Schizosaccharomyces pombe: one gene and its partners. Changing the gene in region 3 together with the main gene of any one other region gives a genetic interaction. Each region holds a gene or a part of one and is shown on either strand. Other genes may lie near its edges.

Evidence for each region.
Region 1: of cgs2 (region 3) and cyr1, a mutation in one rescues a mutant of the other (synthetic rescue), as found in Schizosaccharomyces pombe (2 studies listed by BioGRID, with this or other methods).
Region 2: of cgs2 (region 3) and cut4, extra expression of one rescues a mutant of the other (dosage rescue), as found in Schizosaccharomyces pombe (one study listed by BioGRID).

The regions. Positions count from the first base shown.
Region 1 is NC_003423.3:2,817,967-2,825,720, reverse strand, and holds cyr1 (adenylate cyclase), read right to left. Parts: upstream 5,920-7,754; 5' UTR 5,714-5,919; coding exon 635-5,713; 3' UTR 501-634; downstream 1-500. Other genes in the region: SPOM_SPBC19C7.04C (uncharacterized protein), read left to right, coding at 1-29; N-end-recognizing protein, UBR ubiquitin-protein ligase E3 Ubr1, read right to left, coding at 6,496-7,754. UniProt on the Schizosaccharomyces pombe protein: Acts in glucose-induced cAMP signaling by catalyzing the synthesis of the second messenger, cAMP to activate PKA signaling and repress sexual development and gluconeogenesis.
Region 2 is NC_003423.3:389,233-396,537, reverse strand, and holds cut4 (anaphase-promoting complex platform subcomplex scaffold subunit Apc1), read right to left. Parts: upstream 5,629-7,305; 5' UTR 5,550-5,628; coding exon 1,173-5,549; 3' UTR 501-1,172; downstream 1-500. UniProt on the Schizosaccharomyces pombe protein: Component of the anaphase-promoting complex/cyclosome (APC/C), a cell cycle-regulated E3 ubiquitin-protein ligase complex that controls progression through mitosis and the G1 phase of the cell cycle.
Region 3 is NC_003421.2:1,809,807-1,814,615, forward strand, and holds cgs2 (dual-specifity cAMP/cGMP phosphodiesterase Cgs2), read right to left. Parts: upstream 2,838-4,809; 5' UTR 2,826-2,837; coding exon 2,736-2,825; exon of another isoform or gene 2,675-2,735; coding exon 2,666-2,674; exon of another isoform or gene 2,620-2,665; coding exon 2,207-2,619; exon of another isoform or gene 1,755-2,206; coding exon 1,226-1,754; 3' UTR 531-1,225; downstream 1-530. Other genes in the region: coatomer delta subunit Ret2, read left to right, coding at 1-107, 178-453; SPRY domain membrane protein, specificity factor required for ubiquitination Ear1, read right to left, coding at 4,529-4,809.

The sequences.
Region 1 (7,754 bases), on a different chromosome or scaffold from region 3:
AGACATCTTCTCGTCATTCTAGGCTTTAGACTACTATTGTTGAAGCTCCGTCTTTTTCCTTATTTTTTTTCTATCTTTCATTTCTCAAGTTTTTTTATACCGGGCTGTCAAGTGTTTTGATTCCAATTTTGTTTATTTAGTATTTTTATTGCTTCATTCTTTCCAAATTTTTTTGCTGTATTTTTAGTTTAGTTACGATCTTACTCTTACGATTTCTTTTTCATTTTTCTTCTATTTTGCATTTTTTTTTATCTTTATTTGGGGTTTACATTGTTATCAAGTGTTATACCGAGTTTCCCCCATTGTGTTTTTTTACTCCTATACCATTTTGCATGAAAATTATTTTATTTCGTATTTCTTTAATACAATTTTTCTTTTTTTTTACTTTTGTATCAGTCTACTGTCGTTCCGTTGTTCAGTTTCTTATTGTTTACTAATAGTAAATAAAAGTTGATTTGCCTCGAAACACGTACGTTAATTTGGTATTCCATAATTCCAACTTTAGGGTATAGCAAAAAAAAAAAAAATTTTATTAAAAATATGCAAATTATATATACAAAAAATAAATATATATATATAAACTATTTATGGGGTTAAACATTATTTAAATATAGCAGTCATTATATGCATTCATTTAGCCAGTGTGTCCAAGCATTTGACTGACACAATAAATAGTATTCTCGATACGCAAAGTCAGACGGTAGAACAATGAATACTCCTCGGCCTGGTTTACGGGAGCTGCCAGACCGGTATCGCAAGGCGGTGGTTCAGGAAACCCATGCAGTATAGCGGCATGGTCTTCAAGACGCTCACAAAGTTCATAAAGTAATTGATACTGTTGGTCATCAAAAATACAACCTTCATATCCACCAGTACTCTCTGATGGTGATACGTTGCGCAAGGATGAAACCGATCTCTTCCCAGAACCACCCTCCTCTCCATGGACAGATTTTGAATCACTCAATCTTGCTAACATGGGTCGCAAGCTGTTGCTTCTACTACGAACGGGAGTATAAGTCTGAGTTTCCGGGAGGGCTGTGGGTGTTCCCAAACTTCGGCTCTTTATCAATCTCTCCAGTCTTCCTTGCAATTGCACAGGATAAACCAATGAAATCATTTCAGTAGTATCCAAACCTTTTAACTTAAATTCTCCAAGGTTATGGATAATATAACCGATTTGTTTAAGAGCACGAACTTCCATTTCGTTGACATTCGTCTTCTCTGATGACATTGTTTCTGAATCAAGCTGATTCAATACAGATACCACCTCAGCAGAAACAGCAATTTGACCACCATCAGCGACTGATACAACCCTAGATGTTCTGTTTACTACAGGCCCGTAATAGTCCATACGTCTAGTGATGGGATCTAGTTCACTCACGGTTACACCATAATTGACACCAATTCGAACACTAAGCCCTCGATATAACACCTCATTTTTTGAGCCGAGTACCAACCGTCCTTGCACTGACTCAACTATTTCGTTGGGCCAATCTGCCGAAAGTAACTGTAATTGTACTGAAAAACACCAAAGTAATGCAGCAGGAACTGTTTGAAAACAAACCATAAACGCATCTCCTTCGGTTTTTACTTCATAGCCTCCAGTTGCACGGAGTTGCCGACGCATAATAGTATTATGAGTTTTGATCGCAGATCTCATTGCAATAGGATGTCTTTCCCACAATAATGTGGAATTCTTAATATCAGTAAAAACCATGGCAATACAACCTTTCGGGGGAGAGACTTCTCTATTCATTCGTGCTAAAGAAGAATCATCGGGTAAATCTTGGACAAATGACATATTATCGTTCTTTTCAGAAATTGCTAAAGTTTTTTCATCCCCCCGTAGTTGGTTGAAATTAAGGGAATTCTCTTCAAACAATCCGTTCAATTCGACGATAACTACAAGAACATTTTTTTCTGCACCATATGCAATAGCATAGTCACGTAGCTTCGTAGAGGCTAATAGAGGAGAATGTCTGTTGGCACGAACAACGTCAATTACTGTGCGTTTTGATAATACGCTCCAAAATTCCTGATTTGCTAGAATGATAAATTCGTTTAGTTCAGATAAGTACTGCACATTAACATAGGGAACTGCTTGGACGCCAGGAAATTGAGACAAACGACCAATAGCACGTGTAGTGGTCGATTTTATTTCACCAGATATGAAACCACATGAATCAACTATGCGACGAATTTCATCCCTATTGTACACATCATGCATGACACTTAAAGTTGTAGGTTCCGAATCATTTCTCGTAGACATTATAGCCATTGATGTGCCCACATTGGCAACGAAAGCTCTTGTATCCCTGACGTACACTAAGATAATGCTAACTCCTATATCCAAGCAAGAACTGTCCATAGAATAACCCTTTTCTGAAATATTCATAGTGGTAACGTAATTACTATCCACGTCTCCTTCTGAAGACTTCCTAAGGTCATAATGAATGACATTTCCTAATTTTTTGTTTAAACGAAGAAATCCTCTTCTCAAAGCGTTACAAATTTGTTCAGAAGAGGAATCTGCTGCATTAATCTCATGCGCTAGGCATGAAGCCAAATTGTCGTACACAAATTTTAAAACCCGGTTGTTTTTTCCAGCGCTGATGTCACTGTCAAGCACACAGTATAAAGATGATTGAGGATGCAAAAAGTTGTTAACAACTAATTCACATGCAGAGATGACGGGAATAGAACGAGAAAGGTATCCACATACTCCATACCTCAAAATGTTAGGTTGAGGAGAGTTGCGTTGAATAAAATGGTTTAGAACATCAGAAGGCGCATTAGAAAATTTTGTATTCAAATCCATGATGCTCAAAAACTTTAAATTCTTCAAATATGATTTTGTAAAGTTTGTATCTTCATGCTCAGAGAATCGAAACCATGTGTTACCAGATAGATTAAGGTATTCCAATTGAGGAAGTTTAGTTAAACTCTTCTTTTCAGCTTTTTCTACTGCTAAATTCTGCAGATTATTGGTACTTATGTCCAAAAATCTTAAACTTTTAGACAAAGCTTCATTTTTAGGAAAAGAGGAAAGACGATTTCCATTCGCGTACAAAGTTTCAAGTAGGACCTGCGCTGTACTGGAAATGGAAAGATTTGCAAGCTCATTTCCTGACACAAAAAGGTGTTTAAGATCAGAAAAATTTTGGAAAAACTTGCTTGGAATTTCCGTTAAATAATTGTAAGATAAATTTAAGACTTTTAAACACTTAAAGTATTCTAAAGCCGTAAAACAGTCATTGCCCAATCTGTTGTCCACCAAGTATAATTCTTCAACGGTAGGCATAACAAATTCTTGGGAGGAGAGGCTCGATACCGGATTTCCTGATAAAGTACGCATGATTTTTAATTGGCTAATTGTCCTAGTTAATTTTTTTGACGTTGCAACTGGTAACTTGATTTTCTCCAGGATATTGGAAGACAGGTTAACAACTTTTAGTGAAGAGACTTGCCATACTTCCTCAGGGAATATTTTGATATTATTTGCATGTAAATCCAGGTGAACTAAATGCTTTAATTTGCCAAGGTTTGGTGAAACATAAGACATTTCACAGTTCGTGCAAGACAAATATTTCAAATTTTGCATAGCAGAAATTGCATCGGAAATGCTAGTAAAGTGGTTGTAATTCACTTTCACTGTTTCTACATTTACTAAAGTTTCAATGACAGAATCCTTGAGCCCAATAAGCTTCGCATGTGAGATATCAAAGTAGACGAGATTGCTATAGCTAAATGCCGGATCAATTGTAGTCAGTGGACAAAACGAGAAGTCGATGAATGTAGCTGACGGATTGGAATATTCGTAAAAAGAAAGTAAATTGCAAGCTACATTGATGCTATTTAGTTTCGGACATTCAGATAAACTGGCGATGTTAGTAATCGCATTATAACTAAGGTCAATTGTTTCCAGATTTTTTAGCAAGCCTATTTCCTGTGGAAGCCGATTAGATAAATCATTAAATTGTAGATATAGATGCTTCAATTTAACAAGAGAGCCAATTTTGCTAGATATCTGTGACAATAAATTATGCGAAAAGTTAAGAGTCTCCAATTGGGACAACTCAGTAATTATTAAAGGGAAAGTCACAAAATTATTGTAGGATAAATCAAGATAGGTTAGATTCACCAAATATCTAGTAGAATGGGGAAGGAAGAACAGCTTATTATTAGCTATATTCAATTCTTTCAGAGAATTTCGACTAAGCCCAGAGAATATAAGAGGATCCAATTCATATATATCGTTACGAGACATGTTCAAAACTTCCAATTGGCGAAGAGCAGTAATCGGTTTTCCTCTTGGAGACCTTAAATTATTGGAAATGTCTAACCGCTTAAGCTTGACACAGCGCTCCATGAAATCTAAAGGCAGGTCCAGCGATAAATTGTGCGAAACATTCAACGAGATAAGTTCATGGGCATAGGGATAGATCTTTACCGGAATAACCTCCAGGTTTGACCTACTAATGTCAAGGTTCGCAGTAATTTTTTTTTCAGAGAATTTACGCAATACATCCGCTCCAATATCCATCGTAGTAAACACCAATCTAGCAACACTATAATTATCTTCTTCATTTATTTCTTCATCGGAAGTTACCTTACACCCAAACAAACTCAATAATCGTTCAAATATAATGCATGGCTGTTCATGAGGCAACAAAATACGTTCTGTATTGAATTGGATTAATAAGAGGTAAAAATTAGCAGACGAGGGAAGAAAAAATAACCTTGCTAACAGCTTAATCACTTCATGAGTTTGTATGCCAATAGGGCAAATGAATGATACGGAAGTTCGATCATCACGGTATACTCGAAGAAAGAACTCTTTCTTTCTATTGCCCAGGGAAGGACGAGCAAAAAATCTAGTAGTAAAAACCTGCTTTGGAATAGCCTCAGTGGGCAAACTAGTTCCCCAACTCTCCGGAGCTTTCCAAGAATCATCGGATAAAATGGAAGGGTACGGTAAAAACTTCTTCCAAGGGCTATCATAACTATCTCTATGATAATCGAGGTCCAGGATATGAGCCGCAGAAGCAGGGATTCCATCATCATCACTATTCCTGGGTAATTCGTGTATGCTACCTTCCAAACTAGCTGGCCAATTGTTATTAAGAGAATCACGTTGAAACTCCACACTGTCACTGTCATCAGAAATCGGTTCTGGAAAAGTTAGATTGGTAAATGACTGATTCAGGTTTTTGTCGAAAGATTCTCTGTCCTTATCAATAAGTCTTCGAAGGCCTGCTTCTTTAGAAATTGCACAATTAGACGAGTTATTTTCTTTGTATGGCTTTATCCCAGCACTACGGGTATCACGTGGCACTTCAGACTTTTCAGAGCTTTCTCTTGCAGCTAAGGCGGTATCCGATTTAGTACGTCCCGTGTCAGATAAGCTAAAGTTCTCATCCGGTTCATAAAAATGGAAAAGCACGCTTTTGCTAGGTACTGCAGGAGTGCTAGGATAGGTCTTAAAAGCTTCGACAGGTCGTCCAGAATTACCGACAGGTTGAGTGCAAGGTGAAAGAGCTTCATGGGAGTCATTACAGAGATTTGCTTCGGTTATTTCTGGTATATCATAGTTCACAGACGTCGCTGAGTCATCGTCCTTCTCGTCAAGGTCATCAAGCCAGGATATACCTGTTTTAAAATGTTCAGGCGGGTTTGGAACAGCTGACTTTAACAATCGCTTGCTTTGATCCATTAGTGGCAATTTGCATCCTTCCTAAGAATCTGTAGCACCTTCGTTTCAAAAATACCACTATACGCGAATTTTGGACAAGGAAAATTCAATAATGGTTATATCCCTATCCAAGGAAGGAATATTGAATTTATAGAACTAGTATTTGCTCTATTATCCTAGTTCCAACACCAGCGTTTCTTTGTCTGATTATATCACTTGTTAGGTTTAGAACAAGAAAGGGTTTGGGTTCCAACACCTCATGTATCTTCCTAACTCTAAACTATATTCCAGAGTGGTAATTTCCAACACTATGTGTTCTCAGTGAATTAGTGAGGAAGAAACTGTAAGGCGCGTTCGAATACTGCGTACGTCACTATTTCATCGATTTGTAAACAAATCTACTGAATATACTAGATGAAGGCGGTCTTGAATTAATTACTATGATTTTTTTATTTTTTTTTTTGAAGGCTTTCCATTACTCCTTCCATTAATTAACATTGGATTTGACTGATGAGTTAAAAAAGCTTCTTTTATCAAAGTTTCAAACTGAGTTTTAAAGTATTCATGAAACTTTCATCTAATTTTATCCTTAAATGATACTCGCCCCTTAAATATAAGGGCAATACGATTGACTGTTTGAATGAGACGAAATGTTTGTAAAGTAACCTATATTTACAGGTCAATGAATATGAATTAAATGATAAAATGTCAAGTTTTGGTATATATATCCTAATAAATAATCAAGGTGTTTGAAGCATTAAAAAAATTAGTAGCTTAGATCACGTAAACTCCCATTGTTTAGCCTAAAGTGTTTCCCAACCTCCGGTGTCTGGATTCGCATCCAGTTGTCGAGCAATATAAGAAGGAATAGATCCGTTTAGCCACATCGTTCGTACTGTTTCATCATAACGTTTTTGTGATAGATATTGAGAGCGGCCACGACGCAATCCCAAATCTGTCTCTCCATACGCATCCAAAAATGGAGCTACAGAGAAGCTTCCTACAGGTGGATTGAGGTAGAGAATAGCGCATTTTTTGACAATAAGAAAAATTCCAATGTCAGAAGCGCATTGTTGCATATGAAGATTACATTCTCCAATACCATTAAAGGAACAACAATGACTTTGGAAGCATAAGAGCTTCCCACAAAATAAACATATCGCTGGTTCCATAGGTTCAGTTAAACATTTCGAGCATCGCCTGGCCAATAGTAACTCAAAGACTTTATCCAATTCATACGGTAAAGAAACTAGTTCATAAATTCCAGGGTAATAAGCGCGAGGAAAATCGCATAGAGGACCAGTCTCTGTAAAGAAATTACACCAGTGCTTTATAAGGCTCCATTCTGTGGAAGATGCCGTAAGACAAAGATGATTAGATAATTCAATAACACCTGGAATATGCATTTTTGTTTGTAAACGTGATAATTCTGAATTTTGAAAGTTTAAATTCGGTTGCGTCTCAAATGAAACTCCATAGCGGCAATACCAAAGCAAAGCACATTTTCGAAGGAAGATTAGAGAAAACCTTTCCAATAGTTTATACAGTGTAAACAAAAGATGAGGATTATTTAGATCATCCTCCGTACAACAATCAAAATTGATTAATCCTGCTCCGTCGACACGAAGACTTTTCCAAATTTGGATAACTAAGTGCTCAAACCCCTTTAGCTGCTCATAGTCAAAGGCTTCAAATTCAACTGATTCCATACATTTCAGTAAAGAGTTTCTTTGTGACAAAAGAATCCATAAGTTTCGAACTATATCGGCAGTATAGTATAATTGCGTCAAGTAGTGAAACGATTCGTCACATGATAATAAACCAGAGACACTGGCTTCGGCGAATTCTCGAAATGTATCCTTCACAAGTAACGGCTCAACTCTATCATCAGTAATAGATTTGGTAACCGGTGAATCTAGAGAGGGCAATAGTCGCCCAAATATCCTTTTTTGTTGGCAGAAACTAATAAATTCAAACTCTTGAATTGAACCCCCAATACGCTTCTGTGAATCATGTGCACATAACAAAGTATAAGTTTTGATAGATTCAGATAAAATCCTTA
Region 2 (7,305 bases), on a different chromosome or scaffold from region 3:
TGTTATTCCAAAAGTACAAATGAACACGAACGATAATTCGATACACCTGAGACAAAAAATAAGAAGATAAGCTAAATCGACTCTGAGTCCTTCAAAGATAATCTATAGCAGACAAAAATAGATAACAATAGTTATAGCAAGCGTTCAAAAATACAAATTAACATAAACCGACGTTACAGATTCACGGTTTTCACAACAATACTGAGCCTTTCACTCTTAGCGCAGAACCAAAGGTGTATTAAGTAAAACTACAAGTCTTTTTGATACAGAAAGCTTTTGTAGAATTAGCGGCTTTCGAGAAACGAGCTATTCACACTTCCTATGCGTTCGCAAGCTTCAATTTGTGTTTTGCTAACGAAAGAAGTGTTGTGTCATAGGATGCAAGGTTGAAGTCATGCCCTTACTACCCCTCAAAAACGAAGGAATTTTTAATGAGGCGAATAATCGTACGTAAATTATAATAGGGGAATTTAATGTAGATCGTTACAAAACTTCAGCATCTCAGTGCATGTCGGATTTAAAGACTTCTATTTAAATTTTAAGATTGAATTCGTCAGGTGGATTTAGATGGTTTAATACAGTGTATTAATTATCGGGTGTAATTCATTAAATTATAATATTTGGAACCGTTACTCGAAAGTCATAGATTCGAACATCAAGAACTTATGTAAACAGCATACAACGATATAGTGTTAGTTAGTAGCTCGAAGTGTCATGCTTAAATCAATTAATTAACGAAAGGAGGGAAAAGATATAGAAAAAGGATAAAAAAGCTAATCTATTTTCAACGGCGCCTTGAGACAGGCGGTATTACCCCTTGAAGAACCATGGGTGCTTAGTAGTTGTCGCAATAATATTCTTTTTACTTTGCCCAGTGAAATAGTTTGAGCATCAGTATTCCAATTAACAATTTATTATTAACTTCGATTTCCTTTTAACAAACCATTATTTGAAGATAGCTATTAATCATGATCGTGAAAAAAGTGTTGCATTGGATATGCCACCTTGTATATTAATTGAGACATTAAGGTATTTATACAAGTCGTTAATTTTAAGGGGTTCTATTTTTTTAAACTTCAATTTTCCTTTTGAAGGATTGATATGATGGAAAAGATTTTTGGAAACCATTCAGCCCATTAGCATATCATATAATTAATAAACGTAGTTCATAATTATACAGATTCTTCATTATGATTATGAGAATACACATACTCCCATACTCTCAAACTCAAATCTTCTACCAAATCACGAGAAAGGAAAAGATATTGACGGGAGTGAAACTTATTCAAGAGCACACCAGTCCAACAAGACTCAAAAAATTGTAACAGTATTTGCAAACTTAATAAACGGTCTCTAGTTAAATTATCAAAGTCCATAGACAGGAGTAATTTAACGCCTAGAGAAGTTTTATTATTTGATTCTTGTAACGATGCAACGTTTAAGGGGCTATTCGAGCTTTGGAACAACCTGCTTGTTTTTACCAAGTTCCAAAGTGGGCTTGAGGTATCTTTAAGCTTAGGGAATAGATTAAGTGGCTCTTCTTTTGAACTTGTTCGGTCATAAGGCATCAGTGTCAGTGTTTGTGATTCCCTTAATAGTTCACGGTAATCACTGTTATTGTCCAAATCAATTTTTAAATTCCAATACTTATCACCCAACGTCGACACTGAACTAATGCTATCGTACGGCGGCAAAAGTATAGGCGCTTCTAGTTTTTGAACTGCGCCGCTTTTTTGAACAACATTTAATGGCACTATGCATGGCTGTTTGGTATCTTGATTTCTCGGGATAATACAACGTTCTTCCACAGCTAAAGCCCACAAATTTCGAGCAGCTTGCAAATGTGCACGATTATCTTGAGTAGTCCTGGGAAATTGCGGATAAAATGATATTAACAAAGCCGCGATTGCTAAATTACTGCGAGACAAACTATACCTTCCTCCACCTAGCGAAAGAATTCCGAGCGCCATATGAGTAGCCATTTGAGCCCCGTAGTTCACAGGCTCCATTCTCCCATGTAGTACTCTTAACCTTCTCAAAACATCTAGATCACAATAACCCGCCATAACACAAGAAGAAGACAAAGCGACAATTTGTGTACAGCGAATTACAGTCACTGCAGTTACTCTTTCATCGTGTGTTTTAGCAGGCAGATGACACAACCGAATGAAGCTATCTAAAAAGTTGATGAGAATTTCCTTGGCTTTCGGATTACCCGTTCCAGCAAACCTTAAACCTAAAGAAAAACAAATCCCTGCTAAGACATTATAAAGCAGCAAGTCGTCAGAAGAGAGAACCTTTTTTTCCTGTAAATCAAATTGTGAGAGCATTATATCAGGAATTTGATATTTCACCCATTCATAATCTGCTTTGACTTCATCCCACATAATTAAGTTTTTACCGGCAACTCGCAAAAGTATTAGATCTGGACGATAGAAATCAAGAAGATATCGCGATTTAGGAATATCAATTTTTTTCGCAACTTCCAAATCATTAGTCTTCATATATATCATAGTCAAAGCCATAATGGCCCCGGGAGAACCGGCTTCTAAAGACTGAAATGTAGCCTGACTAGATATTCCCACTTGTAGCCTTGAAACGAGTTTTAAATCAGACATGCCTGGAAGATTAGATCCTCTCCCTAAATTAATTAAACCAAGAGAAAATCCAGCAGCTAACTTATAGCCTTCATTCTTTAGTTCGCTTTCATTAGAAGCCAAAATCTCTTCCATGGTCACTTCAGACATGCGTCTATGACACGAATCATGAAATAATAAACCAATTCCTAGAATTCCTGCAGTCTGAGTTAATGGTGAAATATTCAATTCATTAGATCCAACTGGCAGTAATGCTGAAATGTGCACACTTAGCAATTTTGTAACCTTTGCATCCATACTCCCCAAATACGAGGATGCAAGTCCAAGTAAAAGGCCTATACTGGTTGTATCATGCTTGCTAGTAAGATAAATAAAAGAATGCCAGGTAGCAAGGGCCTTTAAATGACCGTTTAGCCCTAGACCAAAAAGAAATCCCGCATGGTAAGCAGTCAAAGTTTCAGGTCGATTGAACATAATCCAACTAGTGTTTATTTCCTTTGAAAACTTAGATATCGATAATCCTAATGCAACGCCAACATTAAACTCTGGCCACTCGGTTAATTCCTGTGTTACGAACTCTTTATTAGGTTGTATAATTAAAGTTCCAGGATGCAAGTGCAATGTAAAATTAAATAATCGTGGAGTGACCTTTTCCGTAGGTAAAGGATTTTTACTACCATACGTAAGCATACCCGCTCCAATTGGCACGGACAATGTTCTAACGCAAATGCATTGAGCAACTTTTTGTTGCATTGGTACTGAACTCAAGTCGACATCAAAGTGTTCAGTCATTATGGTGATTTGACTTGAATAATTTAAAAGTTTATTCACTTCTGCCAGTCGTCGATCCTCTCTAAAAATCATATCCGTTACAACCTTATAAGGATGAAACGACTGCGTGTCAACAAGTGTAGAATCGGTAACTGTACTAGTGAGTGCTTTTATTTCTTTGACTTCTTGATCCTGCTTATTAAAAACCCATTTAGGTGTCTTTGGATGTAAGAATGAATCAACGTCAAGGCGATTGACTAATCGAAGCTCTTCGCTTTCCCAATTCGGAGAATACTCTTCAGCGGCAATCTCGAGTACTGTAAAAATAATGCATAAAATTCCAAATGGGTATCTTTCACACCTCTTTCTTGAAATTCCTAACCGTACCATTTCTTCAACTAAGTTTTGAAGGGTCATATTAGGATTTAGCAAGCAATCGAGTAACTGCATTAAAGAAAGGGTTTGGGGAAACATAGTAGAGCAAGAATGTGGTAGCCCATAACTTTCCAAGCCATAAAAAGGTACTGTAGATTGCGACCTTAAACATTCAATAATCCACTGTAAAATCGATGTTGGACCAACAGGTTCCTCAACATCAACTTGAATCGATAAGGGTATAGATAGAAATGTTTCAGCGATATCAAAGTTATAATACTCGCAATACCGTGGCCACTTCAACCACGTGGTGATTTGAAGTAATAAAGCTACAAGCTGATCTTTACGAGGCTTTACAACCGAATCCAACCGCAATTCTTCAGATATAAAATGTAAGGTAATAGCTAAGGGCATCAAGTAATTTTTGAATGTTGAGTAATCAAGATGAGATGAGAGCTGAGAAGCAATAAGTATTTCTTTTTTAAAATGAAACTTAGAGGACAGACTGTAAGCTTCATTGCAATCTTCAATTGGTTCAACATGAACTTTATCTCGAGAAAAGAAAGTGAAACAGGCGAGTATTGAAGATATGAAAGCCTCATCATGGCTAAGCTTAAAAGCAAAAAGCGCGTAAAGATGTCCAGTATAAAAAATTTCATATTCACGCAAGGGCAAAACATAACGAATAACACTTAAACACCATTTTACCAAGCTATTGGATGCTCTGTTATCTAGAGATATATACCTCTGCACTCCATCGGTGTCCTCTAAGTAAAGTGTGGCACCATGCACACGAAATGAACGAAAGGTACCCTCAATAGGCAAAGATGGCGACATTGGAGACTCGAGACTCACCTTCCCCTTTGAAGACAGAACAACAATTTTTTGCAAATGCTTAGATTTAATAGCACTCAAATTTATTGCATGTAGTTGAAGCGAATCTAAGAAGTAAGGAGATCTGTCACGAACAAGGCGAAACAACATCATGTAGCCTTTTTCAAGCTCTTTCACTAAAGTGGTGATGACCAAAACACCATTTCCAAGGATTGAATCAAACGAAGTACTTCCGGTGATAGGAAAAGACTCTATGTGAGAAAATATGGTCGAATAAGCGAGTCCTTGTTCCTCGAATTTTTCAGAAAGACGAGTATTGGCGGTATAATGGATAGAATCAGAGCGAGTTAAGTCAGGATTCTTTTCACGAGAAAAAGAGCTTTCCCTTCTTCTGTTACGTGAGCTTTTTATTGACTGGTCTGACTCTGGATCAATAAAGCGACTCCTCCAAAAACTCAATTTTTTTTCTTTTTTATTATGTGTTACGACGATCTCTCCCACGACATAAACGATTGAATCAAACAGAGATAGTATTTTTTTTCCGTCAAATTTTATTAACGTAAGTTCATCTAAAGGATCGTTTAGACAAAAAATATGAGGCAAGTCAGTATTCAGATTCTCATCGCTCGAACGATGACGCTGAAGATATAGTCCACTTGGTGAACTCCATGCGCTTTCTGTTGAAAAAGGAACGTTTATAATATAAGAATCATTATTATTGTCGCCCACATAGTATACATATCCAATGTCGTCCAGAATCACAACAATTGCCTTTTTTCCAGATGCAAATGTAGTAATAAGGGCAGCATGTATCTTTTGTTGATCTACGGTATAATTAAATACACGATTTAAATGGTCATTCACAATATAATGCACAGCATCTCCAATGATTTCAACCCGATCATTCTCTTGCAAATCTAATGAATCCTTTAATTCAGGGTCTTGAATAACATTTGTTTTTAATTCTAGCATTTCAGCATCTAGTAACGATAATCAATAACTCAGTTCCGTTTACAATTTCGCATTTCCTTTTTAGCATGAAGTTGTAGGTGAAATCTGAGTGTCAGCGTATATCTAGTGTAAACAAACCAGCATCTCTTACCAAACTTACGTTAGCTAGACAATTAAAAAGTCAACCTACAGAACTTAGTGCTTTTACAAAATCAATTAAATTTAACTTGGATCTTTATATTCCCCAATTCCAGTATTTATCACGCATTGGTTTATTTGAAGACTAGAAATCTTTTTTTTGGAATACTGATAATTAAAAATACTCTAACGGGAAATTGTTTTATGCATTAAAATATCATTTTTGTTTCTCTTTTTTACAGGAATTTAGTTATAAAATCATGTCGATATAGACGACCGACTTGCCATTTCAAACTACAAGTCAGTACTTACATCCCCAGTGTCGAGGATCCATATGGAATATAAGATGCCTTACTATAGGAGTGTGTACGACAAAAGCAAGCAGTAAATTCCTTGAAGTTTAGAGTGAAGGCTTTGGGTGTTTCTATCATAACATGCAGGACTACTTAGACATTTTATTACTGTATAAAGGTTGAGCCATATAGCTGTATAGGGGGATGTAAATAATATTTTACCATACTTTATTCATTTATTTATGAAGATTTCAATGTTAAATATTATTTGGGTATAATAATGTTTGCTATATAAAAGGTAATTTCTGTCTACAGGATAATTATAGGTGCTAAAGCATAAAAGGTAACGATTGCAAGGCAATTTGTTTTTGGTCGAGTAATAAACAAAAAACTTCAAAATGAAGGACTTGACTATTTTTAAATTTTACTAACTTACGACATTTTTAATATGGAATGAGCTTAAGGATCTTTTGCCATCGTCTTGCATTGTGACAAACTTGGTGAGTATTCTGCTAATTTTCTAATATCTTCCATAAAAATATTGCAGTAACTTGAATGGAACAAGTGGTTTGTGCTTGCCTCTCGTTTAATCCTAAAGGTCACTAGTTTGTTTATATATTAGTTTGTAACATGATTATAGTAGAAAGCGTCACGAAGTCAGCGAAAAATTAAGAATTGAGGAACAAATCTAACTATGTATGAAGTGAGGAAACCCTTAGAAACCGAACATACTTGCAATGGGCTCTGAAGGCAAAAACTCTGCAACCCTGGAGTATCAAAAATGTATTTGGTATTCAGAAAAACTCTGCTTCAATTTGTTCTCATTAGCTTCGGTTATATGTTGCTTAAATCTACAACAATGATCAGGCCCCACATTTCAATGATTTTTCGCGAGAGAATAACTCTAATGAATTTATGAGTCGCATATTGACTATATAAAGCCAGTGAAACAAATGGCTTATAATGCAAAAAAATACGGCTATGAGCCTTCTAAATTAATATCTCCATAAAGTAAATATCTTAGATAATAAACTGTGGATTTCTTTGCAACAATTTCTATGCTCTATAATGTACTATCCATCCTGCTTTTGCAATAAATAGTTTATCATAATTTAATATACTTACATTCTATAATGTCAAATTAGCATGACTTGTTGAGGTTCTTTATGTTAAAAGTTAATGATACAATAAACCAGAGCAGCTAATGTAGGAAATTCAATGACAAACAAAATAGTCTGAAATAAAAAGAAATGATTTTTCTATAGACCCAATTAGTAATTCTTTGAAATGAAAAATGATTGCGATTGATCCACCAGAAGTTATAGAACGCTATGGGCAATATTGTA
Region 3 (4,809 bases):
ACGAAGCTACCAGCCTTGGCTACAGAGACAATGTATCTTTGACACAGATCAAAACTTATTTGGAAATGGAGAGTCACGAAGAGAAAATTCAAGAAATTGTATCAAGAGTACGTGTTGAAGCATAGGGGTGGAGTCATCGAAATTTTTTTTGTATGGTTTTACTAATGCACTTTCTAGAACAAAGAAATTGAAGCAACTGAAGAAAGGAAGCGCCGCATCAAACAACTTGAATTACAAAAGAAAGAAGCTGCAAGACGGGCGGCTCAGAATCTTCCCAGTGCAGATGCGTATGAATCCATTGGGTATCAAACAGTTAATACAACCTTTGCTACGTCTAATGTTGAAGACGAATCTGCCATGGAGTCTTATCACGCTGCAGCAAAGGCTTCTTCTGCTCCCAAAGCGAAAGGAATGCAACTTGGAAAGAAGAAGAATACTAGCTTGTTATATTAATTTACTATTCCAGCGCCCTTTATGATCATTGCATCCGTTTTGGTTCGTTTCCCCTTTGTAATGTGCTTTTCCTACGATCATATGCGATAACTAGAAATAATAATCATTTTTCTATCCCAAATTAAACATCGTAATCAAGAGTCGACCATTACCAACTGTAATAGAACACTTTGTTCCTTTCATACCCTCCAGAATACTTCCTAGTCTATCCAATCGAAAAAAGCAGAGCAAACCTATATTGATTCATCACTCAACTAATATACCCGCTACCCTTTAGGAATGCTTCCTCTTGTTTCTAGGTAAACAATATTAGAACAGAGAAATCGTCATATAATATAACCCATTTATTCAAGTATATAATCTGGTTAAGACTTTTAACCCATCGTTCTATAAACCTCGTCAACAACAACAAAAAACCAAATTAGAAATCTATTTAAAAAGTAAAGCAGATTGGCAAACAAAGAAAAAGCATTCTATTTTTGAAAATAAAGTGTCCGATGAGAAAAGCGTGAAATTCTAATGAGAGTAAACCAGCAAAGCGAGGTACGATGAACTGGTAATGAAAAATAAAAAAAGGTAATAATTAATTGCTTTAGCATTCAATAATTAACAACAAAGTCAAAATTCCTCCAACAGAATTCTCAATAATAGAAAGACATGCGGCAACGGCGGAAGGATAAAAGGGCGTAACGAATAAATGGAGAAACCTAAAAGAAATTAAAAAAAAAAAATAAAAATATAATGAATATATGACCATGACCCTGGGATGCTATTAAAATTTATAAAATTGACCACGCTGAAGGATTTTAAATGTGACTGAAAGAGAACTTTTGGAAGACAACGACTCTAACTGCTCCAATATAACATCGGCAGGATTCGCCGACTGAAGAGGATGTGATTTCAAATGAGTGAGCAAACACGTAAGGGTAGGCATGATAACGCCATAACTCTGGACCAGAGATTGGAGTATACAAAGCTCGTTCACTAGATGTCTAGGGCAAAAATGACCAAACAAAAGAGTATCAGGGATGTCAGGAGTGGAGCATTCGATAAGAATATGAGAAAGCTTTCTTTGAGCAATTAAACTAGAGCAAGCTCTCCAAATATGAATGTTAAGCGGTTCTGAGGCTACCATATCGGGTTCGACGTCCCCGAAAGCCAAAAAGTATCTGTCGGATAGGTTATTCCTAAATAAAAATGCAGACGACTTTAGCTCTTGACCGAAAGAGGAGCCATGATTAACGGGAAAGGGCAATATAGACAAAGTAGTCGTTAAACTAGTATACATGGAAGGCTCAACCCTAAAAAGAGGTTAGTCTCATTGTCAAATGAGAAAGAGAAATGCCGATGGGGTTGATTTAGCAAATTCGCATAAGAGTTAAATTCATTAACTTGTTTGAACAAGAACAAAAGATATTAGAACAGTGAAAGAAAAAGAGATATAATTATTATTGCAATCTTTGCAATCTTTCAAATAATATCACTGTCTCACAAAAAAAATTGCACAAGTACCATGAAACCATGCAAATCAACCAAAGCGTCAGCAGATAGTTTACATATATGCAAAATATATAAATGTGTGTTCAGCAAATAGATTTGAAGGAAAAAAAGACGAGCATACATCTCTTCAACTAAGATGAAGAAAATAAAAAATTTTCAAAACTCAACATTGCCTTCCCAACCCTCAACCTATTCACTAAAACAATGAAAAAATTTTCATTTGACAGAAGCTATTGAGAAAGAATTTACTTACACCTGAAAATTAATAAATCCGGCTTTGTCGAGGGAAGGCCATAATAAGTTATTAAACACGTGCTTTTTTAGGGTATCGATCACATAGTTTAACCCAACTATGGTTCTAGGATTTTGAGGACCAAACATGGCGCTATTGATGACGGCTCCATAGATGTGGTCTAAATGACAGTGTGTGATGAGAAACGTTTTAATCCTTTGCTCTGAAAGGTGCCAGGCTTTTGCGTATGATTCATTTTCCACCGTATAATTGTCATACTTGGTGATGGAAGACCAAGAATCGACGGACAGGTGTTTTGACTGGATCAACTCAACCAACGCCGATAGGTGGCTTCCACCATCCAGCGATATAATTTCTTGAAATGCGCCATCAGAAATCAAATGACTGCTACAGCAAGACTCCAATGGACCCCCCTAATAAGTCAGCATGGCTCTCAATGCATAATGTTTGAATTCTTACATTTTGTCCCTGTTTTCGTTAACGTTAGTCGAAATTCTTCAAAAAAAAAAATATTTTTCGTTTTTCATACCAATGAATATAATGTAAAAGAATTTTCTACGAGTCCTACTACTTGATCGGTTTGAAATTCAGCTTCTTTGATTTCGAGTGCTGCATGCATGGCTAGGCTTATGGAGAGTTACAGATCTCCGGTGCATGCACTAGTCTACAAAAACATGTCGGTTGACGTCATATTTATTACAAGCATACATTTACTACCGTAGATTTAGGGTACGATAAACGATGCTCGAAATGTGGAGAAACTCGGGGTATAGTGTAGTGTGTTAATTATCCTTATTCATGTGCCCGCTTGGTGAAGAAGTATGCTATGAATAAATAAAAGGATGGAAGTCGTTAAGTGGAGAGGAACGAAGTTATGCTTTGCTGCTTTAAGTAAGATATTAAGAAAAAAAATGCGACTTTGATGAAACACGTTTGACATGTATCACTTCCTTATGAGAGCAATTTTTCCGAAGGTTCAATATACACCCTTAAAGAATGTCACGTAACGAGAAGAGAGAGAGCTATTTTTTATATAATTCCAGAGGTTTCCTTTTTTTATCGTTTAACATTTCTGAGGGGAAGTTTTGTTGCTTGTTTAACAATGTCGGCAGAAGTTTATGCCCTTCTCTTTAAGAGACCGACTAGCAAACAATTGTAAACTATCGGACACTAATATGTTTTTTAAAATAATAATTCATTATACATACAAAAAACTGAACCTCGTGTAATATAGATTTCCGTATGAACTTGGTTCTTTATCGGACTTTGAGGATTCGTAAGTCCCAGTCATTTTATCTGATTATGCTAAACTAACTCTTACTTTTTCATAGAGTACTTAGATAGTTCCAGTCAGTGCTGCTGAGAACCAGTTTGCATCAGTTAGGGAGGGTGGTAATCGTTGTAAGAGCTTTCAAAATATGATCTCCTTTTCCTTTATGCAAGATAATCAAAAGAAACATTCCTAAATTACCTATTTGAAGAATCTTTTGTATGTGCCGCTGAAATTGCTTTCCATTGAACTTTTTGTTGGTCTATGGAGAGAAATCATCATAGGTGCATAGCAGCCTTTAGGTAGATATTTTAATTAGCAATATATCCCAATTTTCCCTTTGATAATGATCGGTCTTTTTTCAATTAAGTCTATACCTAAAGGCATATTGGAAACTTGCTATAAAAGTTTGAAATAGAAACAATTCTCAGAATATTACTTGAATACGTTCTCTGTTTTACTCCCTTTTTTTTTTACTCACAAAGAATGTCACACTGCAGTATCGAATTGCTTTATTTGTTCCTTTGGAATAAAAAGGTAGATTTCCTTTTATTACAGCAAAAGATAACAAGACTAATAATTAAGCGGCTTTGTTTTTACCAGGAATTGCATTTTATGACACTACGCAAAATTAGAAATGTAAAAAAGCGCTTTCGAAAATTTCCTTTTACACTTTCATTATCAGGATTGACAACCCTATGAATTCCTCCGTTAAAACTTCTCACCAGCGGAATTCGATGAAGGTTGATGTTAACAGTATAGACTCAATAGCAACATTATACGAAAAATCATAATAAATTGTGAATAACCTTTTATTAATTGAGCGAATAAACATAGAGTAAATTTAATTAAGATTAATAATTATAACTAATTTTGAAGAAATTATTATAAAGAAAATAAATACATTGAACATCAACACATCCCCTTCAATTCATATACAAAGTGCATTTCTCGATTTTAGGACTAACTTGAAACACAACGCACAAACATTTCCACAACTTGATCTTTGGTTTTGGCGTGAAGGTTGTTAGTGCTAAGCTATACATTACTCCTTATACTTCATCGGTAGCAGGCATGGAGTGCATTTGATAAGCTTGATTGTTGGATGATGATGGACTGAAAACATTACCAGCCGCATCATACGAGGTACCATCAAAATTTATTGGAGGTGACCTATTTTTCGATTTGTCGGGTCTATTTGTATCGCCCTGCGTTGTTGTACCCGCTGAAGACTCACTAGCTGCATCCCAACTAATAGTTGGCTGCGATGTAGAATACGACGGAGGAGGAGCCAAGCTTCCAACCGCAGGAGCGAGTCTCCATTTCTTGATGT